Linked DNA regions of Alligator mississippiensis. The protein of the gene in region 1 binds, or shares a complex with, the protein of each later gene. Links are inferred from orthologs where the notes say so. Each region holds a gene or a part of one and is shown on either strand. Other genes may lie near its edges.

Region 1 (7,119 bases):
CCAGTACTGCCCCTGGGTCTGGAGTTGATTCACAAAGCTCACATGGCATGCACCAGATCAGCCCTGCACCACACAGGGTGCCAGTTCTACCTGGCCTGGCACCTGCACTGCATGTGGGCCTGCCTTAGCCAGTCCAGGCCATGCAACATACATGGCACCTGCTCTGGCCAGTCTAGGACATGCACAGTGCCTACCCCAGCCAGCCTGGGACACACACGGCACACAGCACCCACTCCAGCCATTCTGGGACCTGCGCTGTACGTAGCACCCCCTGGCTACTCCAGTGTAGGCACCACAAGCAGCATGAGCCCCAGACTGGCAGGAGTTCAATAAGAACAGGTGCAAACTCCTGCACTTAGGACAGAACAAGTCAATGCACGACTACAGACTGGGGACCAACTGGCTAAGGAGCAGCTCTGCAGAACAGGACCTGGGGGTTACAGTGGACAATAAGCTGAATATGAGCCAACATTGTGCGAAGGAGGCTAACAGCATACTGGCCTGCGTTAGTAAGAGTATTGCCAGCAGATGGAGGGAAGTGATTACAGGCAGTTCTCCGACTTAGGACACAATTGGTTCCTGAAAGCCACAGCTTAAATTGAAACGTTGTAACTTGGAACCAATTTTCTCATAAGAAACAATGTTATAAATGGGGGATTGGTTCCTGAACCAAAGCTCGATACCCTATTTTCACCAAAAATACCCCAGAATTGTGTACTTGATCAACTATAGATGAGTCATATAGCTACATGAATGCATTTATATTGTAAATAGCAATCATATTGATTTGGAAGGACTTCTTTGAGGTGACTTTCCTGGACTTTTTGAAGGGCTCTCGGTTGGACTTTTTGAAGTGCTCTTGGCTGGAGTCTTCTCAGGAGTCTTGGCTCCAGGTTTTTCTGGAGTCTTGTCTGCTTTCTTAAAGAAACTGTCCAAGGCAGTTTGGACAGATGTTCTCCAGGGAGACAGATGACACAGTGAACTTGTTCGCTGGTGTGTCGTCACATCGGATCAAGCATTGTAAAATCAAAACTTACATCAGAAAGTTGAAACATGGTGTCAATTTATAAACGTTGTAAGTGTGAAACATTGTAACTTGCAATGTTGTAAGCCGAGGACTGCCTGTAGTCCACTCTATTTGGCACTGGTGAGGCCACATCTGGAGTACTGTGTCCAGTTGTGGGCCCCTTACTACAGAAAAGATGTGGACAAATTCAAGAGCAGAGGGCAACAAAAACGGTGAGGGGGCTGGGGGACATGGCTTATGAGGAGAGGCTGAGGGAACTGGGCTTATTGAGTCTAGAGAAGAAAGACGGAGGAAGCAACCACAACGAGCGGTGGCAGCAGTGGCAGCCCCAGCATGGGCTCCAGGTCCTGCTTTTCTCACCACTGCTGCTGCCACTGCTCCTCATCATGGCCAGGGTGGGCAGGTCTGGTCTGGAGCAGGTACTGCAGGGAACCTGAACCCTCACACAGGCTGGGGCCGGGGCTGGGGCCAGGGCCAAGACAGTGCACTTGGATCTGGGGCTCAGGCCCTGCCTGTGCTGGCCTCCATGGGGCCAGGGCTGCCAACAGCAGCTGGAAGGAGCCACTGCTGCCGCTGCCAAATCTGCACCCAGCCACTACCACCGAAGCCAGGCATCAGCTCCAGTCACTCCACTGGGCAGAAGGGCAGTGCTGGTGGCAGTAGTAGGGTGACCACCTGCCCCTAATTGGGCAGGACAGTCCCAGAATGGGAACCTCAAGTCCTGGTCCCAGGCTGTCCCAGATTCACAGCATCATGCAGGGATCCACAGGAAATGGCGTATTTCCCTGCAGGCTGGCAGCATTCCAGCCTGCGAGGGGCTGCTTGGGGCTGCTGGGAGCAGGATGCAGGTGGTGCCACATGCATGTGTATGCCCACACACATGGCTGGGAAATACAGCTGGGAAGCATGGAAAGCAGCTCCCTGCAGGTAAGTCAGGGAGGGTTTATGGGGAGGAGAGAAGGTATGGAGGGATGGGGTGTAGATCGAGGCCTCCGTGGTGAGGAAGCGAGTGGGATGGGGCTGGGGGCACTGCCCAGCTAGGGCAGTGCATAGAGTAGGACACAGCCACGGGCAGCTCATCCAGGGGGCACAGGGCATGGGAGGGGGGCAGCTCCCCACTGCTACATGCTGTTCTGGGGGGGGGAGAGCATGGGAGGCACGTGCCTCCCAGATGTGTGTGCAGGGCAGGGGTGGATACAGGCTGCCTGCTGTAAGCTTGTGGCTGCCTGTCCTGCTGTCCTCCCCACAGGGAGACCCCACCGCCATGGCAACACTCCCCCCAGGCAGCAGTGGGGATGGCAGAGGTGTGGAGTTGGATCCCTTGCTGCTGCTGGACAAGCAGGGGGGGTATGGCTGGCATGGGGCTCCTGAGAGGGCAGCAGGGCTGCCCGGAGCCCACAGCACACAACCTGTATCTGCCCCCCTGCTCCATTTTGCTCTGCTCTGGCTCTGCCACCAGCGAGGAGGTGGAGGGGAAGGTGGGAATGTGCCCTGCCTTTGCATTTTAAAAACATGGTCCCTCTAGGTGGTGGGGGTCTAGACACAGAGGCGACAGTCAGTGGTGGCTCCTTCTTGCTGCCATTGCTTCTGGCTCCATGGACACTAGTACAGGCTGAGCCTGAGCCCTGGGCTGAGTGTGCCACCCTGGCCACGGCGTGCCGTGTGTGGGGTTCGGGGTCCCTGCAGCGCTCTCCCTGGACCTGCCCACTCTGGCCCCAATGAACAGCAGTGGCGGCAACCATAAAATGTAAGACCTGGAGCTCGTGCCAGTGGGACCCACTGCCCTGCAGCTCCTCCCCATCACTGCTGCAGCCACCAGCGCCACCTCTGGGCCACGCCAGGCTCCTGCACTCAGTGGGGTGAAGGCGCAGGGCAGCCCTGGCACCTATACCAGCTCCCTGCCCACCTGCAGCCCCATTCCACATAGGGAGGTTTGGGGAGCAATTGTGTGTGTGTGTGGGGGGGGGGGGTGACCCAGCCCACAACAGAGTTTTAGGGAGCTATATGGCCCATGGGCCCAAATATTTGCCTACCCAGGCTAGGCTGTCCTCAGTGATGGCAGATGACAGAACAAGGAGCACCAGAGTCAAGCTGCAGCAAGGGAAGTTTAGGTTAGATATTAGGGAAAATGTCCTTACTAGGAGGGCAGTAAAGCACTGAAGCAGGTTACCCAGACAGCTGGTGAGATCTCCATCCCAGGAGGTTTTTAAGACCCAGGTAGACACCGCATTGGCTGAAATGATCTAGTTGGGAAAGCCCTGATGTGAACAGGGGGTTAAACTACGGTTCACCCTCATTTTCGATGATACCAGTGGGCGCCGTAGGCAGCTCGTGTCACACCAGCCCTGCCCGGGCACCGCATGTGGCACCGTCCCAGACAGGCTGGAGATGGCACCACAGCGGGGCACGTCCGCGGGCTGCATCGGGGCTGGCTACTGCCACGCATCCTGCCCGGGAACAGCACTCACCCAGCCCCGCGGAAAAGCCGGGCTCCCGAACTGGCTGCAAGTGGGGGCTGCGGGCCGCAACCGCACCGCCCCCTGGGGGGCCGCTCCCATCCCAGTGAGCACGGCCCCAACCCCGTGTCGGTGGCCAGGCTGCGGGGCCCTCGGGGAGGGGGGCGCAACGCGGATCCTGGGCAGGCCCCGCACGGGGTGGGGGGGGGGGCGACCCCGCCCTGCCGCAGCCCGGCCGAGCCGCCCCCCGCAGCGCAACGCAGCGCGCACCCTCGCAGCCCGCAGAGGGAGGGAGTGGGCGGGCCGGGACGGAGGTCGCTCGCGGCTGCGCGCGCCGGTGCCGGCGGCAGTTGGTGTGGCCGCTCCCCACCCCCCCCGTGGGGGCGTCGGAGGGGAGCGGGGCGGGGCGGGTACAGGCGCGCGTGCGCACGCGCTCCCTCGCTGTTGCCATGGCCCCGCTTGACGTCACGAGCAGTGCGTTGCGGCGCGGTGATTGGCGGAGCCCCCGTGTGTGGCGCTGGGAGCGAGGCTGCAGCGAGCGAGCCGCGATACAGGCACAGTCCGCGCCGCCGCCCGCCCGCACCGCGCCCGCCCGCCCCCGGCCTCCTGCCGCAGGTAACGGGCCTGCGCCCCCCCCCCCCACCGCTTCCCCTGGGGCGGCCCAGGCGGGGAGCAGCGCCCCCCACCCTCCAGCGGGCGGCTCCCCGGGTCGGGTCCAGTTGCTGAGGCGGGAGCTGCTCCGCGGCGTGGCGGGTGGGGGTTCGCTGCGCTGCGCTGCGGGGACCCGGCGGGTGGGGGCCGGGGCCGGGTGGGGGCAGGTGAGGCGAGGCAGCGCCGCGCCCTTGCCTGGCGAAGGGGGGGCTGTGGCCGGGCGGCCCCGCCCTGCAGCGGTGGGGCCGGGCCGGGGAGCGGCTTCCCGTGGGCCGGGCGGGGCGGAGGTGAGGGGGATGGAGGCGCCGGCAGGCTGAGCTGGGCGCGGCGCGGCGCCGCCATGACAAAGGAGCCGGGCGCGGCGCTTCGCCTCTCGCAACCGGGCGGATGCGGGAAGGGAAGGGCCAGGCCCGGCTCGGCTGCAGGCTCGCCCCCGCGCCGCTGCGGAGAGCGCGGCCAGCACCATTTTATGCCGGCGGGCGGGGCCGTGGCGGGGCGGTGGCAGCCCCCTCCCCCGTCAGAGCCGAGCGCCACGGGCCCTGCCCTGCCCTGCCCTGCCCTGCGCTGCCGCACGGCTCCGGGCGCAGCGGCGGCATCCGCTGCCTCCCTTGCTCCCACCCGCCCCGCGTGAAACCCGGCCCCAAAATGGCTTCTTCCCACCCTTCTCCCTGCGCGGGCAAGGCCGCGGCGCCGCGGGCTCCGCGCACCCGCCTCCGCCCAGCCCCGCAGTCGGGAAAGAGGCTCGTGAGAATCGGTAATACACGAGCCCGAGGGCAGGACTGAAGGGAGTGTGTTGCTCAGGTGGATACGAAGGTCTCGAGGAACCTCCCAGTATATTTTTAGGCTTTAAAAATAAATGAAGGCACTAGTCACTAGGGGTTGATGAAATAGGGTGGGGGGAAGGGGTCAACCTCTGATCTTTCCTGACATGAAAAAGAGTCAGGTTGGCTCCCAAGTGCTGAAAAGCCCCCCTGGGGTGCAGATCCCTAAGGAGACCTGAGGAAGGATGACTTGCTTTTAAAAGCTTGTCCAGCGTTATCCCAGCTGCCTCACTGGTGCAAGAAAAGACAGTCACCCTAAGAAATATTTTATCCCTAGGTTGTCATTTTAGCCAGCAAAAGATGTTTCTGATGTGTTAGGCTGGATTTTAGTGGGGCTGTACAGATAGAGGTAATACTAACTTTGTCCACCAAGCCTTCACTACTGAGGCTGAGGAGCACAACTTGGATGAGAAGCTCATCCCACTGATCCTCTAGGGAAAGAGTTAACATTCCTAAAAGGGCAGGATCCTTAGTGCGAATGAAACCCCTACATTCAAAGTAGTTAACAACCTTTAAAAAAAAAAAACAACCTTTAGAGCTTTATAACATGAGAGTGAAGGCTTTTCCTCCGGCCTTTTTGTTTGGCCCTCTGAGCAGCACAAAATTGCTTTCCCCAGGTCTTTAATCATTGGCATGATGAAATGGACAAACTTCAGCTTTCTCCCAAGCCACATCATGAAGAGAACTAGGACTGATTGAGGGAGAGGAAACGATCAGAATTATGTACAGCACAGAAAAGGTGTGCCTTCAGCATTCGGAAAGTTATCTCTGCAACAATAAAGACTAGAAACATCAATTAATAGTCTGAATTTTTAGAAACAAGCAAATCAAAGTCTTCAAGTCATGACAAAAAACATTGAGAAATCCTAAAAGCTGACAATCGGGAATATTACAACTTAACTACTCTAGAGAAATCTTGCTTTAGATATGAGGCTAAAAATGTCTTTGTCCTTGATAAATGTTTGAATAATGCCTTCCTATTTTTCCTTCTCAGAAAAATCAGCATGGATAAAAATGAGCTGGTGCAGAAGGCCAAACTGGCTGAGCAGGCTGAGAGATATGATGACATGGCAAGCTGCATGAAGTCTGTGACTGAGCAAGGAGCTGAGTTGTCCAATGAGGAGAGGAATCTTCTCTCTGTTGCTTACAAAAATGTTGTAGGAGCCCGTAGGTCATCTTGGAGAGTAGTCTCAAGTATTGAACAAAAAACGGAAGGTGCTGAGAAAAAGCAGCAGATGGCCCGAGAATACAGAGAGAAAATTGAGACTGAGCTAAGGGACATCTGCAATGATGTGCTGGTGAGAACTAACAAAACTGTTAAACTGTTGATTTAATATTGCAGGGTAAATGATATTAACCCCATTAAACTGACATTTAATCTAAACTGAAAATTGAGGCCTGTGATATCAAGTCTTTAATCTTTTTCTATACCAGTTAAAAAAAACAAACTAAGACAAGTGGGTGACTTTTTCCTCTTCCCCTTAATGAATTTGGTAATTAGTTCTCATGGACATCTACTAACATTGTCAAATCTTAAATATAAATAAACTCTGAAAATTCATAGGTTGCTTTATTGTAGGATGTATATTTGTGAATAAGCAAATATGGGTTCATTCACAGATAATGACTGTGTTCATAAAAGCTTTGGGCGTGGTTTCTCCAAGAACCGTGTTGTCCACAACTTAGTTCGTTTCTGGCATCTTAATATACTGTGCTGCTTGTAAGAGGTAATTCACACTATGGAAATTGTGCCCCTCCCTGGTTTAGATGATGTAATGTTAGTTATGACTCAGCCATGCAGAAAATCCTCTGCAGGAGGAGGCAGTGGCAGTACTGCTGATTCCCTCTTGCAGTTAATAGTTCTTTAGTGGTAAACTATAGTAAAGGTAGCCTGAGAGTTAAACTAGTCTTGTGGCTTACAGAACATACTGTGGCTTGTTGAATGATAATTGAAAAATGCTTGGGTTTTAAACTAATTGGGGGATGGGAGGGAGTCAAAGGGGAGGGCGGGACTTTTCAAGTATGCAATAGTACACTCCTACAAGTTCACCGTTTACTGGGTGTTTGTCTTCCTGTTGTGTGCTGAAATAAACTCTGCTGACAGCAACAGCCACTGTAGACCATGGACTTTACTAGTATCATCCCTATTCTTTACAGGACTAGA
Region 2 (7,534 bases), on another chromosome or scaffold:
AGGACTGGGATTGCCCTCGACAGGGGTGAAGGTGAGATCCCGTCCATGTTCAGTGCCAAATCAGCAGTGTGAACTTTTCCCTGTTGCACACGGAGCGAGGCAGGGGTGACTGGTGTGACTCCAGGTGTGGTCAATCTTATCTTGGAATAAGAGTGGCATTTCCTGGTGTAATTTGCATCACTTGGAAAGGGGACTTCCACCCACACAGCTGTGGAGGTAGGAGTCATCCCAGCATTGCTGGGCCTTGGGCATGGCCAGTGGGGCAGTGACAATGGCGAGGTGGTTCTGACCAAGCCCACGTTGGCGGAGAGACACAGTGTGAACAGAAAAGAGTGACAAGAGGTGACAATGCTCTGCTGGGCCCATTTGTGCTGCAGGCAAATGACTCCTTGGCTACACTGCTTGTGCCATAAATAAAGCAACAATTGCATATTGTGATGCAAATTGCTTGGTGGTAAAGCCCTGCTGCCATCAAGTCTGTGTGTGAAAGCACATGTGGAACTGGTGTCTTTCTGGACTCTGGTTACGTGCTCCTCCAGAGGAATGCCAAGCCTACCCACGCTGCCTTATTGGAAAGAATTAAAGCAAAGACCTAAAGCAAAGGGGCATGCCACATCTGGCCTGTCTTTGCGGGGGGTTTCTTTTTCGGTGTAGTTTTCTAGCTGCCAGATTCCTTAGGTGAATTGCAAAGAGTTTTTCAGAGACCTTCAGAGCCTAAATAGCCACTGGACCTTTCTAAAATGAGCCACAAACACCCTCTCGAAAGCCACGACAGTGCTACAGTGTCACCCCCCTCGTGTGCATTGTCAGGGGCATCTATGTGGATCAAATAATATATAGGGTGGCTGGAGAGAGAGAAGACAGGCAGGGTCTGCAGCATGGCAGGGCTCTGTGTGCTCTGTCATGGAATAATTATTACAGGGCCTTGTCTTTTTTTCGCCAGCCTCCCAAGAAGCTGTTGTACTCCTGGAGCACACACGTCGGCTCTGTCCAGGTCATCAGCTGTGTTACCTGATGCACCCACCGGTCTCTGCACTGCAGTCGCAGCTGGGCGGGCGGGCCCGGAGGAGAGGGGTTTTCTGAAGAAACAGAACGTAATGCTCCCGAAAGACAGTGAGTCCTTCCCTCCTACAGCTGCCCTGTGCGTTTTTCCTTGTGAGCAATAAAGACAATCCTGGTGCATAACTGCAGTGTGTGAAATAGGGTTAGTCACAGGACTTCCGGGCACAGCGGCACGTAAACAAGCTTTCCCCACTTCCCTCTTATGAAAGTTTAAGTCTGCTCCACTGCTCCGGCTTCTTTTCTTCTCTTTCTCTACCAGCCCCCTGACTCCCATTTATGTCTGATTCAGCCTAGCAAACATTTTACCCTGTGGCAATCTTTTCTAATGGAGCAGGAAGAGCAGCCTCTGGAGCGCACTCCTGACACATCCCTTGGGTTTTCTTTCTGGCTCTCTGGTTTGCTGCTCTTGCTCCTCATTCACATTAAGAAAGAAGAAACCAATGGCCCATGCAATCAGCAGCTCATTATCAGTGAATGGGGATGGGGCTTTGTGAGACTTCCTCTTTTTCTTTATTTCCCTTTCTCACTCATACATGCCACGAGGTTTAATCTTTGCAATGGCAGTTTCCTGGACTGTGTGTACACAGCTCCTCGCTGGCCTGCCTCGGCAGGGAATTGTGGACGTGCCTCCCTCACTGTGACACACATTTTAATGACTGATCTATTAACCTGCCCAGCAGCTAAGGAAGTACGAGCGCTCGTCCAGACGCAGGTGCATCGAGCTTTGCATATTTTATAGACGCGGGCTTCTAGACCACAGGTCGTGCTGTTGCTTTCCCCACTGAACCTCGGCGTTCTGGCCTTCCACGCCTGGCTCCTTCTCGGAGCTCAGGAATCAAAAGAATGCACGCAGCCGTTGGACAGGCCAGCGAGAGATGCTGAAGCAAAGCCAGGAGAGAAGGGTGCTACCAAGCGATTTGGTTTTCAGTGCACATCTTCATCAGCGGAAAAAAAAATGACATAAAATAATGGATACCCAACCCGTCAGGCCCAGTGGACCCCTGTAGACTTTACTGGACCCTCCATGCAGCTCTCTTTGCAAAGGTGTTGTATTGCATTCACCCAAAGGAGCTGGGGCTCCTCCAGCCGGATTCCACTGGCCCAGGAGATGCCTTCTCTGCCTGCTTTGCTCACATGGGCCCCAAGGACCGTCCATGGGGCAGCTCCTTGTCCCATGCAGGGCTCCAGCGACAGCAATAGATGGCCATGGATCTGCAGGGGTCTGCACACAAAGGCCCTAGCCTAGCAGACCCTTCCCTCTGCAGACAGCCTGCAGTGGTTTTGTGTTCCTGCCCTGAAGATGCATTGCCTGGCTTCTCACCGCAGTCAGGAAGCCCTTTGGTTGTATTACTTGCAGGCTCAGTGCCTAGCAGCTGGTTTATGAGGCTCCTTTCATCTCTTATTTTTAAAAGAAAGACAATAGGAACTTCTGGGCTGCCTGTTTCCCCTGTTGTGTTATGAAGTTAGCAAATTTCTCCTCCTCCTCTTGGGAATCGCTTCATCTCTCCTTCCCCACTCCAGTTCCTTGCTGTCCCTGAAGCGTTGGCTGCAGCCGTGTTGGTCTAAGGACACAGGCAGACAAGGTTCTTTGGGTAGATGTGATATCTTTTATAGACCAACTAAGTAGTTGGAAAAATTGTTCTTTGCAAGCTTTTGGGTTCAAACACCCTTCTTCAGGCAGAGGGAGAGTCTCTGAGGCACCTTGAGGGGCTCTGGTTTTCCCCTGCTCTGCTTCCCTCCCCTTGGAGGCCAGGTGTCATAGCCAAAATCTGCTTATCGGCTGCTTTCCTTTCCATCAGTCTAGTCAAAGAGAGACTAGTGCTAAACCTGTGCTAAACCTGCGCTAAACCTGTGCCTCTCACAGTACAGTGGCTTCAGGACATTTTTCCTATGAGCTGTGCTCTATTTGCCCCTTGTGCACAAGCTCCTTGTTAACAACCGAGTAAACTTCTTTTTAACAGCCATCTCTTTCCCCTTGGAAGCTCTCAATGAGGGGCCTGTTTTTGCTAATCACTGCTGGGAGGAAGATCAGTCACACCTAAGACAAAAATGGTTCTGTTCCCTCTCTCAGGAATGCCCTGGGTTTCCTTCTTTAAGGGGTCTTGGGTAACAGCCCACCCTGTGAAAATGTTTGCAGGGTTTTAAAAGCCCAGGGCTCCAGGTTAGTCACCTGGAACGTAGAAAGCCAGTCCCCTGTTGAGCACAGAACAAGTCCCTTTAGTGAAACGAACATAAAGCTAGAAACACTCTTGTCAGTGAGTTGAAGAGGTCAGTTGTTAGTTCGTGACTAAATACACAGAAGAGAACAGGTCTGATGAGGAAGAAGACATCCATCCTTAAGCGACTGGGGTTTTTTCAGAGTGGAAAAGCATACTTCAGTCTGTTTTGCCAGCAGGCTCCCCTCCTTATCATCACCTGCTGGGTGCGGAAACAATTCTTTTGTTTTCCCCACTGATCTCCCAAAAAATGTTGAGTCCTGTAGGGTTGTTGGTTGCAGCCGTGTTGATCTAAGGACGCAGGCAGACAAGGGTCTTTGGGTAGATGTGATATCTTTTATTAGACCAACTAAATAACGAGGAAAATGTGTTCTTTGCAAGAAGGGTGTTTGTGCCCAAAAGCTTGCAAGGTGCTCCCAGGGGTGTAGGTTGTAGCCGTGTTGGTCTAAGGACACAGGTAGACAAGGATCTTCGGGTAAATCTGATATCTTTTATTAGATCAACTCAAAAAAAGCGCAAAGCGTTCCTATGCACTTAAGTAATCATGGGCTTGATAGGCAGATGAGTGATGTTTGTTGCAGTATAAGTGCTAGGCAACAGATCAGGACCAGTCTCCTGTTATGCAGTTGAGAGGAGGAGGATGTGTTTATCTGATAGGCATGTAAAAGGATTATATTGTATGCAGGAGTCTCCTCATCTCTTTATGGCCTGTGTGGGGTCACTGAAGAGGTAACAGATTTCTCAGCCATGTTCTCCCGGTTGAAATCTCATGTCCCTCCTTTAAGGAACCGTTGCCTTCCTGAGCAGTGCCGTCCACGCTCCGCCAGCACAGAAACGGCTTTCTCAGCCTGTTTTCAACAGGTAGGGATAGCCCGGATTTGCCAGGCAGCCCTTGGAGTTCTGCCCATACTTTTTGTGAGCGCCGTTGCCATGATACAGAACGTAGAGCAGATGTTTATTTCAACAGAGATGTCTTTAATTCCTTCTCAACGTTTTTCTCAGGCTGCCATCGTGTGCGAATACTTCTCTGTAGGAGCCAACTGCAGCCCGGGCCCAAGAGCAGAGCCTGATTCAGAAGGAAACGGAGGGTTGGAGGTGTGTAGAGGAGAGGTCAAGACAGACAGCCAAGCCTGCTGGAAGTTTCTGAGCGCCCACGTTTGGTAGGGATGGTAAGGAGCTGAGGGAGCCTCGACCAAAATGTTTTCTGGAAAACTAGCGGCATTATAGCGGTTAATGAAAAGCAATCCCCCTTCCACTCTACTTGGGCTTCAATTTTTTTTTTCTTCCCTTCCTTCCCCCCTCCTATACCTTTCTTTCCTTAACGCAAATAATCCAGCCCTTTTCTGTGTGGTCCATTACCTGGAAGTAACCCTGTGTAACAGGCTGTGATAGGCCAGAAATGCCTTAATTGTACTGACAGCAATAGAGACAGGATGCTAAAAATGTAGGGGTAGGCGTTGCACTTTCCTCCGCCCTTCGTGGGGTACTTACTCCTGTCAGGGACTGTCAAGAGCTCTCATTCCTAGGTGCATGGTTTCCCTTTGTCTTTGTTCCCTTTCTTTTCTCTCCTTAGTGCTCCTAGTTTTCTCCCTGCTTTCTTCTTCCTTCTCTTCTCTCATTTTTCATCTCTATTTTTAACTGCTGCTGCCTCCCTCCGGGCTCATCTGCCCTTTTTTCCCCTCTAGGCTCTTATCTGCCTTGTCTTCTTCCTGCAGGAGTGGATCAGCGTTCCTACCCGCTGGATCGCAGGCAGACAACCATCTCTCGGAGAAAAGCACTGTTACACTGCTGCTCTGCTTCTGCATGTGGGTATGGGTTGGTATGTGGGAGAAATCCCACTTGGAAGTGGTGCCTTCCTGGAATGGGTGCTTTTTTAGCATAGGAATTCTGCTTCGAGCCAGCTTCCTGTTGCTGCTGCCTTATATAGAAATGTTTTATCATTCTATAAATACAGTATGTGTTTTATTAAAAAAGAAGACAGAAATGGATATGCAGGAACAAAATGCTGGAGGAATAACGGTGAGTGGCAGGGCCTCTCGCAGACTTCCTCCACCCCTTCCACTGCTGTGGTCAAGCTATTTTTGTATTCCACGAAAGAGCGCTCTGCTGAAACTTCAGGTTCCTTCTTAAAAGGAAATTGGAAGAGGGGAAGGGTCTGTTTTAAAACTAGAAAATAAAGTTGTAAGCAGGAATGAGACTATAACAATTTTAAGCTGAGAACCTCAAATCTCTAGATTTCCCATCTCTAAATTCCCATTGGATTGCATAGTACAGGTTTGGGCCTAAATTAACTAAGATTCCCAGTGAAGGATATCCTGTAAATACTGCCTTCAGTTTACAGCTGGGCATGCAATAGCTCAGAAAGGATAAGTGAATTGGCCAAGGCCATACAACAAATTAGTGGGAGAGCCAGGCACAGAAACCTGGAGCCCTGGCTTCCAATACTGTGTGTAACATCCTGTGTGCACAACCACTGCAGAAGGGAACTTAATGCAAAAAAGAAGAAAAAGACTTCTTGCGAAAAAAAAAAAAGGCCCTTGTTAATTTGGTAGCTCTTTTATTAAACCTCTACTGCATGTCACAAAAATGTTGGGATCTATCAGCTATGTTGTTAATGTAGTTTGGCACGGATTATACCGTGGACATGGGTGTCAGGAAAGGGCAATTCTGCATGCCTATGCTGAGAAACCCCATTTTGTTGTTGTGGCGCAACCTATCCATTTGTTTCCTGAAGTTTGAAGCTGAATCCTTGATGTCCTGCACTATTTGTTTGATTCGAGTTAAACTGCAATTCAAAGAAAGACGTTAGTGCATATCTACAACCAGCCTACTGAAATCATCTAGCATTAATTAAGCTTTTGTTAATGTGCTGTACCCAGAGTGGGTGTGTATTGTTGTTCCAGTCACACTCAGAGCATTCCCTCCCTACCAAGGCTGTTCAGAACATGAGACACAGATATTAATAAGATGCCTTTGGGCAGTGGCTTTATCTAGTTTCTGACCTTTTTGTAATGAATTTAATCTACAGAAGATTAGCTTAAGACAGATACTGTATTAAAATACATAATTCATGGCAGTACGGATACTCTTGTGATGAAGGTGAATAGTACTGGGTAAGTATACCATTGAACTTCTGGTCTGGTAATTCTCTTTGTCACAGGTTTAGTCACCGTACTGAATCACCCCAGTCTTTTCCCTCTCCACCTTCTTTATCTGTAATATAGCATGCCTGAATAAGGTCAATACACAGCTTTTTTCCTGCTAAAAAGACAGTCGTTTGTGACAAAGAAAACCTCTCAGGAAAAGAAAACTGAGAATTTGGCACAAGCTTATTTGCTGGAGCGGGTATAAATGCCTGTTTGTTTTATTATAGGCAGAGCTACCTAAAGCAACTTGACATCTCTTGTTTTAAACCCTGTTTTCAGTTGCCTATATCTTTGCCAAATTTGAAGCATTTGGGTTGAAATTATCCATTGTGGGTATCTGCCTCGAGCTGATATATATTTTTTATTTATTTAAGTTTCAGCTAAAATGGCTCAGCTGTTGCTCAGAGCGAGGCTGGGAGAAAAAAAAAAGAAGTTGTATTGCAATTGTTAGAAAACCACATCTTTTATAGGCATTCTATTGAGAAACTCTTACCCTTCACCTTCCCCTCCCTGGCTATGGTTTGGAGCAGGGATGTGAAATTTAGGAGACATCTCCCTGGTGTCAGAAGCATGCCTTTTGCTGTCTTTATGAAACCTGCCCTGATTAGCACCAACCAGACCTTGGAAAATCATAGCTCGCCCATGCTCAATTGAGTCTTGTTGGAGTTCCTAAATTCTGTCTGCAGTGATCATGCCTCACAGATGAAATGAGCATGCTCAAGAGCTGCAGGGGCTGAGCAGGATTTTCCTTTGATTGTTCTTCATGGGGCTGCTGTAGCATGGGGCACCCGGGCTGAGAACAGGGAGACCGTCTCTGCTGAACTCTCGGGAGTTTTGCAGCCTGTTCGCAAAGAGCTACTCGTAAGCAAGGGTAATTGGTCATAGGATCATGAGTTGTCACATCAGGTAGAACCAGGAGCACGTTTAGGTTTGTTATTTTGTCTTCTACATTAAGCAGAATTAAATGCTTTAAAAGATGTAAGAAACATTTCAAGTATGGAACAACTTGTCTCCAGGAAAAAAAATGCTTCCTTACCTCCATTAGTTGGAAGCCAATTGATGCCCCGAAGCAGGCAGGATTGTATCCCTCCCAAAATATTTTCATCCTTC
Region 3 (7,126 bases), on another chromosome or scaffold:
ATCTAAGCTGATGTTCCTCTTGTAACAGCAGCTGATCAATATAAATGAGATGCAGATAATGGCTTGGAATTTCCTCAAGCAGACAGCAGTAACTTTAGGCCAGTATTGAAAGGGGACAGGCTGAGCTGGAAGCTGGAGGTGCAATTCTCTCTATCCTAGTACCAGCCTCTTTGAGCTGTGCTATATCCCTCCATGGGTCTTCTGATTCTTAAGCAACTTCCAGCTCTCAGTAACAGTCTCTAAGCCAGAGTTAATCATTGCAGAGGAAATGAAGTAGAGATAAGATTTAAGAAAATGCGCTGTTTTCTCCATATATTAAGTATTTGTATTAGGATTCCCTATTATTATCTGCACTCTGCTAATTAGCCTAAGAACCAGTCCTAGATCAAAGTAAACAGATAGCTGAAAAAGAGCCCCAAAGAGCTCACGGTGTAAGATACTTCATTATGTTTTAAATGGTTACCTCCTTCAAAATAGTATCGCTTGTACAGAACCAGGTACCATGGAGTCCTGAGCCCAGCAGAAGTGTTTAGCACAGTGGGGAGCTGGGGGAAAGGTGGATGTGTGGAGCAAAGGAGGGAGAGAAGGAAAGGAGGGCAGGAACTGGTGAAAAGCAGAAAGGAGGCAATAGGTCAAGAGCTGGAAAGGAGAGGAGGGAAAGCACGTCCTGCTCATGCAAGTGGCTGTAACCGGACCCCAGGGCACATCGCTGAGGTTTTACACGAGTTAAATTTAGTACCAAACGCCCTGATCAGCAGAACAGGTTCCCGGAGGGGATGCAGTTGGACTCAAGGGAGGTTGCATCATGCTTAAAACAGGCAGAGCCAAGTGGCTAGCCATGCTGACTGGGGGCGCGGCAGGGGAGCAGTCTTTTCACTGGCTCTTCTCTCCCAGGCTGGACCCAGCCCCCAAGAGCGAGATAGCAGCTTCCCTGCTAGCAGATGGTCAAAAGATCTACTGGGAGGAAGAGAAATAGGCCAGGTGACACCCACGCGGTCTGACTGGTGCTGATCAGGGGAACTGCCATGCTGGACATGCTGTATGATCTGTGTCACTGGGCCCAATGGGGGCTGATGCCAAATGCTGCTGAGCACAAACGTAACACATCTAAAAGAAGAGGGACTTTCTCTGAGGGTCACGCAGTCAAGTGCCACAGCTCGAGTCCAAAGCAGGGTTGGGTGTGGCATAGGGTGGGGACCAGAGTAGCCAACTGGGGTGCTGGAAGGGAAGATCAGAGCCTTCTTTGCCAGGAAGGAGGGGTAAAGGTTTGGTAAAAGGAAAGGGTTAGAATGCTTGTCACAGGGGGGGAAGGGATGCAACTTGTCTTTTTCCCCCCCAAATTCTATACCTGCCAGGTCAGACACTTGCCAGAGTGACTTGGCAGCCAAACAAAGTACAGACTTCCACAATGAGACATGGGGTGAGCCAAGATCTGGGGTCTGGGTGGAGTCTGCCCATGGCACCAGACAATTCCCAGCTCCACCCTTCTCTGCACCCACTTGTTCCCTCCCTCCTTCCCCCCCACAAAAGCATCTCACTGCAAAATGCCTTTCCCTCATTCAGGAGCTCCAGGGTGATCTCACCCTGCTCCTGGACAACTGGCTAGGGATACTGTTGGAATAACACAATATGATCCAAGGGGCTGAACACTACTGCCCCTGCCCTCCACCACCAGCACAGGAAGAGCGAACACCAACACTCTCTCTTGGCAGTGCACCATACAATCTGCCGGCTGCTGAGCCAGGACAGAGTGAACACTCTGAACAGCCTGGTTCACTGCTCTGCCTGTGGGCTGGTTTCCCACCTACAGGTCCAGACTCGTCTATTAGTGACATCTGCATATGTAAGGGGAAAAAAGCAGCGCAGGGGGTGGGGAAATGGTAGCTATCCAGTTTACCTTATGAACTCTGAAGCCCTGTAGACCTGGTTCCACTATGAACGAGCTAATACCAAAGGAATTGTATGATTTCAACTGAGATCCTCTTGACTCTCAGCAACAAGGCAACAGGAGAATCATGCCTTTACACCTGACCCAAGTAAGGCTCTTCTTGCGCAGAAATAGCATAAGGGCATGAGGATTTCAGCACAGGCCTGAGGGTACAAACAGTGACTCTGCCAGTGAAATACAAGCCAGCTGGCAATCCCATTTAAACATCATAAACTGATGTCATGCTGGTCCCAAAGGTATTTTAGGTTCCTTCTAGGACTGCATTTAAAAATAAGACAGTGCCCCACATGTGTGGAACCACACTCAGCAAGACTCCAGGAGCCAAAGCTCTGAGAAAAGAACCAAATTCAGCACAACACTTAAGCTAAAAAAAACCCAAAGTAGCAATAATAGCCTGTATCCTGCACAGAAGCAACACTGCCTGATGGGACCTGTTCCCCACGTACCAAATGGCTGACAACCAGCATGTGCAGTATTTGAATAGGGATTAAGATACTGTCATCAGGCTTCTGCCACGTGACTTTCTTGTCCTTAAGCAAGTGCTTTTTGCAGCCTACATAAAATGTCTTTACCCTTCTCCTTGGAAGTATAGATTCTTATACCAGCACCCTCATCACATAGCATCTGAGCAACTTGTTGTGCAGGAAGGGACAGGACTCATCTGTCATATGAAACGCCCAGGAGCTTGTTGAGGGGGTTTTATTAGATGTTTGTAATTGCTCTGCATTCCTATTAAAAGAAGGTAGATCAAAAATTGCACCTTTTACATCCAAGTGGATTGGGACGGTCCTTGTTTTTTTCTCAGGGAATTTGCTCCACGGTCCCTAAGCAGCCCCTGAGAAAGCTCTGTCTCCAGACATGTTTTATCCTTGCAGCAGAAAGATCCATTATGCTGGAGAAAGAGGACCGTTGACTCGTCTCCATCCTGGAGTTTCTAGGAAATATCAAGACTTGCTGCGCTTAGGCCGCTGAAAACCCCGAAGGCGGCTCGGTACTTGTGAAGGAAGCCAGTGCAGAAAGCAGAAGGGAGCACGAGCGTGACGATCTCCCCGTAGTCCAGATGCTCTACGGTGTGCTGGACTAGCTGGCACTTCCTGAAGGCAGATGTCTTCCTGCCCAGGTCAAGTGCACAGCTGTCGTCCAGATGGGAGCGTGCAAGTGACCAACGTCTGCCTAACCCAGGCCCGGTCATCAGAAAGCAGGACTTGCAGAGAAAGTCTCGCCCGCACCAAGAGCTCTCCAAGGCCGTGAGCTGAGCGGCCCCACGGCAGGCAGGTGCTTTCCGCCGCCGGCGGCTGCGCTGGATCAAACCTGCCTCCGGAAGCGCTTCCCCCTGCCTGGTAGAGGATCGTAGCCTGGCTACGATCAAGATGGAGGGGTGGGGGCTTCTTGCCCAGGAAGACGCCCCCACCTCCACCCCCGGGCTGGGGGCAGACGGGCAAGGAGCAACCCCAGCCTGAGGTGAGGCTAAAGTTGGTTGCTTATGCCCAGTTCCTTTTCCAAAACTAATCTAGACCCAATAAAAGCTTGCTATTAAGTAATTACACATCCTAAACAATGAGCAGTTCATTAGCTATGCATATTTTACATATTGATGTGTAAAATAATATTCTGCCTCCGGTCCCTGAGGTGGCCCAGCCTAGGCCAGAGGCCTGGGGCTAGGTAAAGTGCGTATGCCTGTACTGAGGAGGTCTTCCTGGACAAAAAGCCCCCTCCCCTTTAGGACACCTGCTCCTAAGGACCCCCTATGTCTACCTCGCTCAGCTAACCCCACATCCCCCTCCCCCTTGCCCTTTAACCCCTGCCCTTTGCCCCCTCACCCCCCACTCCACTCCACTCCAGTCTCCTCAGCGCAAGCCCCACCCCCGCACCAAGCTCCCACCCCCACCCGCCGCCGCCGGAGAGGGGCGGGCTCTAAATACAACCCGCCAATGGGCAGCGGGCAATCCGACTCGCCCGCCCTTACCATCCGCCGGCGGGCCAATCCGCGAGGGCGGGGACGCCGCGGCGGCCAATGGAAGCGCACGTCGGTCGCTAGGGAGGCGTGAGGCCCTGGAGAGGGGAGGGCGGCGGGTGCCGGGGGGAGGGAGGTAAACAAAATGGCGGCGGCGTGCTAGCGGCAGCGGGGGCGAGGCGGCGCGGGGCGCTCCGAAGTGAGGAGGGGGCGGGAAGCGCGGAGCCCCCCCTGGCAGGGCGTGGGGGCGAAGCGAGACCCCTCCCCGGGGCGGGGCAGGGCAGTGGGGTGGGGGTCTCCTGTGCTGGCCTTGCTGGGGGGGGGGGCAAGGGGTCAGCTTCGGGTGAGGGGCGGCCCCTCAGCAGCTTGGGAGGGGGGGCTGCCTCATGAGGGGTCATGACCCTCATTTCGGGGTCGGGGCGCGGTGTGAGCCGGTTCCGTGTCTCCCAGGTCAGCGAGCTCTGGAGCCGCGGCGGCGACGCATCATGTGTCAGGCGGCATCGGAGCGGCTGAAGGATGCCCCCGGGAGCTCTCGGTAGGCCCGGGAGGCCTGCAGCATTCGCCAGGAGGGACCGCGAGGCGGCGAGGATCGGTCTCGAAAACGCCTTCGAGGAAACCTGGTTCCAGCTGCCCAACGGCTGAGGGGCGCCGCCGGGCCGGCGGGCGAGCGGAAACCAGCCCCGCGGGGGCCATGACCCGCCGGTAATGGAAAGTCACGAAAGAGACTCGTTCGTCTTCTCGTGGGTTTGACGTCTGGGATCCCAGAGGATGACCTAGCACTTAAGCATCAAAACTGGGCCAAATCGAAGGCCAAGAGTTGACCTGATTGAGCCCGAGTAGCGGGACCGGGTCAAAAGGTGAAATCAATAAATCCCGAACTGAAAAATTCAGACATTGGGAAAAAAATAAATAAAACAGCAAGAAAGAGAGCGCGTTGTTGGGGCCAGACTCTGGATCTTATCGGACCCTGTCGAGCTTACGAGCAGCTGATGGTTCTTTTTTTTGTTCGTTGGTTTTTGGGTTTTGGTTTGTTTTTTTTTTAATTAATGTTCGTACAATCTTATGGATAATTTTTTTCGAGGAGTCAAAGGGAGTGTCGGGAGCTAAAAAGAACTGGATTAAAATCTTAAGGGCTGAGGCAAGTGGGTTACAGAACTGAATCCAGGATGGATATGCAAGAGCCCCAACAGCTGAGTATGTTTGCAGACAGTGAGCTGATGTCTGTGGGGATGGACACTTTTATCCATCGCATCGACTCCACCGAGGTCATTTACCAGCCGCGGCGCAAAAGGGCCAAGCTTATTGGCAAATACCTGATGGGGGACTTACTCGGAGAAGGGTCTTACGGCAAAGTCAAGGAGATGTTGGACTCTGAAACCCTCTGTAGAAGGGCTGTCAAAATCCTGAAGAAGAAGAAGCTACGCAGGATCCCTAATGGGGAGGCAAATGTTAAAAAGTGAGTATGGGTTCCTGCGGCTAGTTGCAACAGGGTTAAATCCGGTCAGTGTTTTCTGGCTGAGAGTCCGTATTGTTTTATTCAACACCGCATGTAGCCATATGTTTTGAAAGGACTTTACAAGCCACATACATGCAGGAATTGCTTCACCTCTGAAATGCAGCCAATTCTGAGTTGGAGGGTAACTCTCTTAAATACTGCTGAACAGGGGGGGTACAGGAAAAGGAAACCTTTTATTCCCAAGGACATGGGGAGCAAATATATCCACTTCTACAAGCAGCACAATGTTCTGGGCCGTCAGGCATTGCTGCGAAGCAGGGAGAACCCCTCTTTCTGCAATTTCATCCAAGAGGCACACAGTAAACAGTGTTGTGCTTAGTTGCCCTAACAAGGCAGGGTGAAAGGTTGCCTGCTGCAGAGGAAGAATAAACTTTGCATTGCTGCTGTGTGCATGCGATACTTCATGGGCCTCTGCTGGGAAGTCTTGCGTTCCAGGCAGTTATTCCATGGGTGGCAGCGTGAGCCAGTGCGTTGGGAGACTTGGGCTCTATTCCTAGTTATGCTATTGACCAGCCTGACCTTGGGAAGTCCCTTAATCTGCCTTGGTCAATTTTTTTTTTTAGCTGTGAAGTGGAGGTAATGATGCTTCTCTCTTGGGGAAGTGAATTTGTGGTTGAAGAGTGCTTTGAGTGCTAAGTCATGTATTGGTAAACAAGTTCCGCATCCAGATAACTCCCAATTCAAACGCCTTATTGGGATAAACTGGTTCTGTGCTTCAGTCAGAAGTACAGTTCATTTTTGACATTCCCTTTCCTTGATGTTACATGTGCAGGGGCTCTACAGGCAACTGCATTTGCCACAGCAAGCGGCCACAGCAAGCCATGTGAGATTGGGTTGTTTGTCTGATGCGAAGGGGACACTTCTGCTGCCAAAACAAATAGTTTTCTGCAGCTTATCTCGTGGCAGGAGGAAAACTTGGGAGATGTTTCCAAGTCTCCTGTGACGTTTCTGGAGTTGCCTCTTTGCCTGCGGCATGCTGAGTGCAGAGCCCTGACCTCGTGGGCTCTTGTTTCTGTTTTTCTGTTTTGGTTTGGGTTGTTGAGGTCAGCTGGCCAGTGCTTTGCATCCTGTGCTGGGGCCTTCCATTGGTTAGCTTTTCAAGTTTACCTTCTAACCTTGAGAGTGCAGGATGGACGGGCTTTGCTCCAGTGTTACGACAAAATCACGACAGGGCATCTCGTCTCTCTAGTGCTGGCTCTGATTTTTATAAAAGTAAACTGCTGGTTAATGTGTAATAAAACATTTTTTTTTTCTTCTTCTGGTAGAGGCACATGTGTCACTTTGTTCCCTTCTCTTTCTTTCTCTGGTCTCCAGTGACACCCAGGGCTTCCCCCAAAAAAGGGAAAGCTGCTTTCCCCTGAATTGTTCCCCTAAAAGCCCACCCCCTCCCAGTGAAACAGAATTCTTGGAATTAACCTGTCAGCTTTGTGATGCAGAAAGCATGAAGTGGTCCTGTGTCCTGAAATAAACTACGTAGAAATATCATCTGTATCCTCTTAATTTTACTGTCCTTAGCCATTCTGTGGATGTGTCTCACCTCATTTAGTTACCACAGCAGTTGAACCAGAAGATATTTAATTTCTGTGATCACTCTGGGTTGCTTATTCAGCAGTACCTGACTATTAGAGTTCTTTGGATCTGTGGCTGTAGTATTTGAAGCAGGCTTTTTCTTTAGCCTTCTAGCAGTGGTCTATTTTAGCACAGGTTC

Evidence for each region. Proteins that work in one complex are often made in the same cells at the same time.
Region 2: the proteins of YWHAZ (region 1) and STK26 are in contact, whole or in part, in a crystal structure (PDB 5XY9), measured with the Homo sapiens proteins. The link is inferred for Alligator mississippiensis from reciprocal best matches to the Homo sapiens genes YWHAZ and STK26. Residues at the interface, in NP_001129171.1 of Homo sapiens: Lys49, Asn50, Gly53, Ala54, Arg56, Arg60, Lys120, Arg127, Tyr128, Leu172, Asn173, Val176, Tyr179, Glu180, Asp213, Leu216, Ile217, Leu220, Asp223, Asn224, Leu227, Trp228; in NP_057626.2 of Homo sapiens: Arg316, Glu317, Asn318, Asn319, Thr320, His321, Pro322, Glu323, Trp324, Ser325.
Region 3: the proteins of YWHAZ (region 1) and STK11 are in contact, whole or in part, in a crystal structure (PDB 5WXN), measured with the Homo sapiens proteins. The link is inferred for Alligator mississippiensis from reciprocal best matches to the Homo sapiens genes YWHAZ and STK11. Residues at the interface, in NP_001129171.1 of Homo sapiens: Asn42, Ser45, Val46, Lys49, Asn50, Arg56, Arg60, Phe117, Lys120, Arg127, Tyr128, His164, Pro165, Ile166, Gly169, Leu172, Asn173, Val176, Tyr179, Glu180, Asp213, Ile217, Leu220, Asn224, Leu227, Trp228; in NP_000446.1 of Homo sapiens: Trp332, Arg333, Ser334, Met335, Thr336, Val337, Val338, Pro339, Tyr340, Leu341.

Annotation. Positions count from the first base shown.
Region 1 is NC_081826.1:38,283,365-38,290,483, forward strand, and holds the start of YWHAZ (14-3-3 protein zeta/delta), read left to right. Parts: upstream 1-3,987; 5' UTR 3,988-4,098; intron 4,099-5,949; 5' UTR 5,950-5,959; coding exon 5,960-6,253; intron 6,254-7,119.
Region 2 is NC_081831.1:81,457,192-81,464,725, reverse strand, and holds the start of STK26 (serine/threonine-protein kinase 26), read left to right. Parts: upstream 1-4,429; 5' UTR 4,430-4,444; coding exon 4,445-4,447; exon of another isoform or gene 4,448-4,993; coding exon 4,994-5,083; exon of another isoform or gene 5,084-6,063; intron 6,064-7,460; exon of another isoform or gene 7,461-7,534. UniProt on the Homo sapiens protein: Serine/threonine-protein kinase that acts as a mediator of cell growth. Modulates apoptosis. In association with STK24 negatively regulates Golgi reorientation in polarized cell migration upon RHO activation.
Region 3 is NC_081839.1:2,851,532-2,858,657, reverse strand, and holds the start of STK11 (serine/threonine-protein kinase STK11), read left to right. Parts: upstream 1-4,021; 5' UTR 4,022-4,038; exon of another isoform or gene 4,039-4,101; intron 4,102-4,352; 5' UTR 4,353-5,068; coding exon 5,069-5,358; intron 5,359-7,126. UniProt on the Homo sapiens protein: Tumor suppressor serine/threonine-protein kinase that controls the activity of AMP-activated protein kinase (AMPK) family members, thereby playing a role in various processes such as cell metabolism, cell polarity, apoptosis and DNA damage response.